Caenorhabditis elegans: one gene and its partner. The protein of the gene in region 1 interacts with the protein of each later gene in a biochemical or structural test. Each region holds a gene or a part of one and is shown in the gene's direction. Other genes may lie near its edges.

The links. Proteins that work in one complex are often made in the same cells at the same time.
Region 2: of the proteins of natb-1 (region 1) and syp-1, one has a biochemical effect on the other in vitro, tested with the Caenorhabditis elegans proteins (one study listed by BioGRID).

Annotation. Positions count from the first base shown.
Region 1 is NC_003283.11:7,982,026-7,984,975, reverse strand, and holds natb-1 (N-alpha-acetyltransferase 20), read left to right. Parts: upstream 1-1,544; 5' UTR 1,545-1,558; coding exon 1,559-1,636; intron 1,637-1,685; coding exon 1,686-1,776; intron 1,777-1,827; coding exon 1,828-1,957; intron 1,958-2,004; coding exon 2,005-2,227; 3' UTR 2,228-2,319; downstream 2,320-2,950. Other genes in the region: abhd-12 (Serine aminopeptidase S33 domain-containing protein), read right to left, coding at 80-322, 369-570, 627-748, 817-833; F26D11.1 (Gluconokinase), read right to left, coding at 2,339-2,531, 2,685-2,950.
Region 2 is NC_003283.11:16,402,274-16,406,033, forward strand, and holds the start of syp-1 (uncharacterized protein), read left to right. Parts: upstream 1-2,000; 5' UTR 2,001-2,558; coding exon of another isoform or gene 2,559-2,873; 5' UTR 2,874-3,489; coding exon 3,490-3,760. Other genes in the region: F13A7.14 (BZIP domain-containing protein), read left to right, coding at 1-37, 1,102-1,602, 2,559-2,873.

The DNA of each region.
Region 1 (2,950 bases):
TTTTTTTGCATTATCCTCAGTACTTTAAAAATTGAGTTTAAAAATTTCTGATTGCAGTGAAATAATAAATTTAACTCACCCAGTTCCCATCGAATGACCCCATACAATAACAGGCGTCTTCCCGCAATTCTCCTTCAGCCATTCGTATACTGTTTTTGTATCTTCAACAATTCCTTTTTCGGTTGGTGTTCCTTCTGAATCTCCATATCCTCGATAATCGAAACAGACGACATGATAATTACAATCACTGAGCAAATTGTACATTTCCACACGATGGTAGAATGTGCGATCGAACGAGTTTCCATGAGCGTAGAAGATAATTCTGAAATTTATTGATTTTTTTTGAATTCATTCTTTGAAAATCCTACTGATTCTCTGAATCCCTCATCATATCGTCAAAATCTCTCTCTGTCGGATGTTTTCCTTCTGTTCTCCATTCTAAACTCAATTTGTTGGGCAGAATGTGCCAAACACCAATCCTTCCACTTTTTCCAGGCAAATGAAGAGATCTTCCGATTGATTTAACGTTGTTCGACGCCAAATCATTGTAATCGGTGTTCGGCAGACGTCCTTAACAAGGTAACATAGATCAAAGATAAAAGATAAGATAAAAAAGAAAAACTAACGGAAATTGAGAAAGAAGATGAACTGTGTGTAGCGTGGAAGAAAATATACCAGTATTGGAAGGAAGATGACAATTGAGAGGACTAGAATTGTGATACAGAGTAGTAGCGGTTGAATAAGTACACTGAAATTAAATTTTCGTTTAATAAATCAAGTTTTAAAATGTGGAAAAATGCCTAAATTTAAACTTACATAAAATAGCCTAGCATGATGTTGATATTTTGTTAGTTAACCGCTTCCATTCGAGTAGTCAAGTCACCTGAATGCATACAAAATGAGGTATATTAGATAGTGTACTTGAAAGTGAAAATGGAAGCAAAAAAACTGGAATTTCTTTAAAAGAAAGAGAAAAGTGGAAGAGAGAAGCAGAGGTATACACAATATACTCACCCTGCTAGTCACTTATTGATTTTTTCTCCTGTTAGTGTTTTGTTTGTACTTGATGACGGTCAGGAGGAGCGCCTGACCGCCTGACCGATTTATTTTTTGAAACACAAAAAACGAAAGAGGATAATTTTTCAACGGACTACGGTGGACAAGTCCGCAAACACCGCGCACTAAACTTGCGTACTTTAGGAATTTGCAAATTAATTTGGAATTTTACTCTTTTTTATTAATTTTTAACTTAATTAGCCTGATAATAGCTTGTTTTATGCTTAAAAATAAATCAACGAGCTGCAAAAATAATTTAAATTCTGACAACACAGCGCTATGCCCTTTACGAAATTTATTTGAACCGTTTTTAATAGTGCCACCTCGTTTTAGCACTTTTTCAACTCTTTTCCGCGTTCGCCAAATTTATTTTCCCATTTTGTTTGCAAATAACGAATTTAAAATTTGTTAACTCTCTCAAGTAATGCAATTTCTTTGTGATTAATATAACACTTAAATTTACCCTTCAATATTGCAATATATTGCAGAACTGCGAGTAAAAATGACAACTCTCCGGCCATTCGACGTTATGGATATGTTCAAGTTCAATAACGTGAACTTGGATATCAACACTGAAACGGTAAATTGCTCAGTAAATAAAAAAAATTTAAATATATTTATTTTTGCAGTATGGCTTCCAATTTTACCTGCACTATATGATGAACTATCCGGAGTATTACCAAGTTGCTGAACATCCAAACGGGGAAATTATGGCCTATGGTTTGTTTGAAAATAAATGAAACATAAATGTGAAATAGTTTAATTTTTCAGTCATGGGAAAAATCGAAGGACGCGACACCAATTGGCACGGACATGTAACTGCTCTCTCTGTGGCTCCAAATTTTCGTCGATTGGGACTAGCCGCCTACATGATGGAGTTCTTGGAACGTACTTCTGAAGCGTAAGTGATGGCAAATTAATATTTTATTAAAATCTAAGAATTTTCAGTCGTAGAGCATATTTCGTCGATCTGTTTGTTCGTGTTTCGAACAAGATCGCCATCGAATTGTATAAGAAGCTTGGATATGTCGTCTACCGGCAAATTATTGGATACTACACTGGAGATAGGGACGAAGATGCTTTTGATATGCGGAAGTCGCTTTCTCGCGATCCTGAAAAGAAAGCGATGGTTCCTTTGAATTATCTCGTGCACAGTAGAGACGTGGATTAATTTTAGATTGTTTTGTTTAGTATTTATTTATTGTTTAATGTTTATTGTGTTGGTTGTCTTGTCAGTTATGACAAATTATTAAATTTATTTATATTATTTAGATTTCTAGAATCATTCACAAATCAATGCCAGAGTCTTTACAATTGTATCAACAATTTGATCCACATTTTCACTATTCGCATCAACAGTGACGATATTTGATTCATCGGGACTCGGAAGTTCAAGTGTAGCCAGCTGACTATCAAGTAAAGTAGATGGCATGAAGTGTCCGGGACGGGAATTCACGCGTTGCTGAAGAACTTCCCTGCAAAAAATGAAACGATGAATGCGTGAAAATGTGTGAAAGTGGGAAAACGAGCGGACGGAAGCGAGTGCGAATTTGAGTTGTTTGTTGTCCATTTTCACTTTTCTGCCCATTTCTTTCACCACATTTTTTTGCGCGCTGAACATTACTTGCCTTTTTAAATTCAACAGAATGAAAACAGCTCTTCCGCTGGCTCCATTGGGAAGATGTTCACAAAGAATGGATCTATAACGTCTTTTAAGCGCAGAACAAGCGATAACGTATCCTTGATTGAGTCTTGCGTAGTTGTTAATAGCTTGAAGCCATGGAAGTCTATCAGAATCATTCAGTGGTGTGCCGGCTTTCATTTTCTCTACATTTTCAGGTGAATGGAAAGTATCACCATCTTTGAATGGCCGTCTGAGCTTCTCAGAAAGAGC
Region 2 (3,760 bases), 8.4 Mb from region 1:
AGAAGAGCTCTTCGACGACGATGATGATTATGCAGAGGTAAGGGCGAATTTGTTAATAAAAATTATTGAATTTTGCGAAAATCTCCTTTTTGTCACCTCCCAGCAGCCGGAAACTGGCTTTTTGTTTGAAATATTCGCCAAATTTAGCGTTTGCTTATTAAAAACCCGAAAATTTCTGATTTTTTCCAATAAAAACAAGGAAAATTCGAATTTTCCAGTTAAAAATCTATTGAAATCCCTATTTTCCGTTGAAAATCCAAAAAAAATCGGCAAATTTCCGAGAAAAATTCTTTTTTTTTAAACAAGAAACCAGAAAAACCAGGTTTTCCAATAAAATAACTTTAAAAAATTCCAGTTTATCATGTAAAAATCAAGAAATATTCGAATTTTCCGATAAAAAAGCGGAAAATTTCTGATTTTCCCTCTATAAAACCAGAAAATATTGACTTTTTCAAGAAAATTCTTTGTTTTCCTCAAAAAACCTTAAAATCCTGATTTTTCACGGAAGAATCCAGAAAATGTTCAGTTTTAATAAGAAAAATCTAGAAAAATCCGGTTTTTCCACTAAAAAGCGGAAAATTTTTGATTTTCTTCAATGAAAACACAAGGAAAATTCGAATTTTCCAGTTAAAAATCTATTAAAATCCATATTTTCCGCTGAAAACACAAAAAAAGCCAATTTCAGAATAAAATTCAATTTTTTAACAAAAAAAAACGGAAAATCTAGATTTTTCAACGAAAAAATCCAGAAAAACCGGGTTTTCCAATGAAATAACTTTAAAAATTCCAGTTGATCATGTAAAAATCGAGAAATATTCAAATTTCCCGATAAAAAGACAAGAAAAATGGTTAATAGTCAGAAAAATTCCATTACAACAAAAATATACCAAAAAAAATTCGAGTTTTCCAATAAAAAATCAGAAAAATGCCTTTTTTTTCAATTCAAAAGCGCGATACAAATCCAAAAAGCCAAAAAAATGTTTTTTTTTAAATTTTTCTGTAAAATCTGAAAAATTGTATTTTCTCATAAAAAACAACCTGAAATTTTCAATTTTTTAAAATAAAAAACCCAATTTTTTTAAAAAATCAAATATTTTTCAGCTACAACCCGGTCCATCACCAAAACCCTATAGATTTACTGAATCTGAACCTCCTGTTCCACCACCACCACCAACTACAACAACTCCAAAACTTCATCACGATGAAACTCTCGACCTTGACGCGACATTTGATCAACCAAATCTCAAAAGGCGACGAGTTCACCTCGATCGTTCTAGTCCAGAAAATCAATATCCAAGTGAAGATTCGATTTACGAGTTCACCCAATTTACACTACAAAAATGGGAACACGAAGAGTCTCGGCGACAAGAAAAACGGAAAAGAAAGCGAGTTGCTGAGCGAATTGAACGGGAAAATTATGTGCATAATGCTATGGAAAATTTCAATTTAAATATGCCGAGCGTGTCGGATGTGGAGAAGCTTCGCCGAGAACGAGATCAATTTAAGAAGGAAATGGAAAAGTATCGGAGCAAATGTGAGAAGCTTGAGAAGAGATGTGAGCAGTTGGAGATGGAAAAGAAGAATTCGGTGCCAGTTTTTCAGGTAAAAATTTGCAGTGAAATTGGACTATTTTCGCAAATTTTGGCATTAAATCGTCAAAAATTGTATTTTATGATTAAAAAACTATACATTTAGCGATTTTCAGCGAAATTTTGCGATTTTCAGCAAGAATTTTAGCAAATTTGAATGCTAAAAATTAGCAAAAACGGACTAAAATTAAGAATTCCAGCAAAAAAAAACTGCACACTTCTCCTAGAGGGGTACAAAAACTGCGTGAAACCACGCCCATTTTTCTGTGCGGCACTGTTGGTTTTTTTTCGATTTCGACGCAAATTTGTCTTTCTTTGCCGATTTTTTTTTGCGTTTTTGATGTTGAAGAAATTTTAAATTCTTAAAAATACACTTTTCATGTTATTTTCCACTCGGAGAGGGAATTTTGCGTATTTTCAAATTTTTTTTCCTAAAAAACGTCAAAAATACAAAAAAATACCTTCTCCGAGTAAAAATCTACATGAAAAGTGTCACAATTAAAAAAAAATGGATGAAAAATACGAATTTCCTTCGAAATTCAAAAAATTACAAAAGTACGGCACGGAAAAATGGGCGTGTCTTAGCGCCAAGTTCGCGGTAATTCAAATTCCAAAAATTGTCAGAGCAGTTCTGTCGATTTACGCGGCCCGTGTACTCCTCGTGGAGAAGTGTGCATTTGTTTTCAGAAGATCCTGCATTTCTTGGCTTAAACCCCTACGGTAGCCGGTCTCGACACGAAAATTGTTGTAAAGTGCAAAACAAGTATGCGCCTTTAAGGATTACTGTATTTTCAAAATTTCTTCATCGATTTTTCATAGTGTTCCGAATAAATTTTTAAAAATCTAAAATAAAATTCCCATTTTCCGTAAAACTACAGTAATCTTTAAAGGCGCACACCTTTTCAAATTTAACAAAAATTTTAAAAAATCACAAAATTTCACGTCTCGGAAATAAATAAAAATTTTCAGCCATTCAACAGCAATTTCTACTTTGGACCGGCGACAGCTTCAACTCTTCAACCATTCCAACTACAACCTCCGGCTCTTCAATTCACACACTCGTTCAACTTCACCGCATTACCCTCTACTTCTGCACCATTCCCACCGGCTCCTTCTGCTGCTGCTCCAGCACCTTCCCCGTTCAGCCAAATGGGACCTGTTGGACCAATGGCTCCACGATATACTGATCCGATCACCGTGTACGATTACAATGATGATGATGATACTTCGTTGAGTGATCTGTCGAATAGTTCGAAAAGTGATATTTCTGATGATCTCAAGTGAAACATGAATAATCTACTTATAGAAATGTGTGAATATTTTTTTTTGGATTTCCAATGCGTGTAACATTCGTCTTTTTATGTTTTTTTTCAAATTCACAATTAAACAATAAATCATATTACTTGTATTTCGAGGAGCTGGACACAGGGTCTTGACACGACAATTTTAAATATTTACTTACGGACTTTTTTCAATAAATAATTATATTTTCAATGAAAAGCTAATGTTCGAAATCACAAAGGAGCACAACCAATTCAAAATCAGCGCTGATTTTTTGTTCAATTTTCCGTCTTTTTTTCCTGAATTTTACGAAGTTTTCTGCAGTTTTTGTCATGTTTTACAGCAAAAAAACCATATAATCTTGAAAAAAATAGCTGCAACAAAACGCGCTCCATTGACAAAATCTCAAGTTACTGTAGGCAATCTGCAAATTTGCGCCGCGGTGTTTGCGGCCTCCGCTCATATTAAAAAAAATATTTTAAAAATTATTCTTTAAATTTTAAACCGTTTTACAAAGTTTTTTTCTTCATTTTTCAATCTTTTTTCTTCGATTTTTCCAATTTTTAATATAAATTTTTGCCGAAAATGCTTATAAATATTTATTTTCAGGTTTCTGGCAATGGATAACTTCACAATTTGGGTTGACGCTCCCACTGAAGCACTTATTGAGACACCAGTTGATGACCAATCGTCAGGCTTTCTTCGCGATGAGATCATGCTCACACAGCAATACGTTCTTGAGAAGCTTGACGAGCAGACTGAGCAAGATAAAGGCGAGCAAACTGATGAGCAGGCGGCGAAATCTCGCGAGCTGGCTTCTCAAGTTCAAACCGAGTCGCAACGAATGCATGATATAAAGAAGGAGCTTAACGTATTCAAAGAGTCGTGCA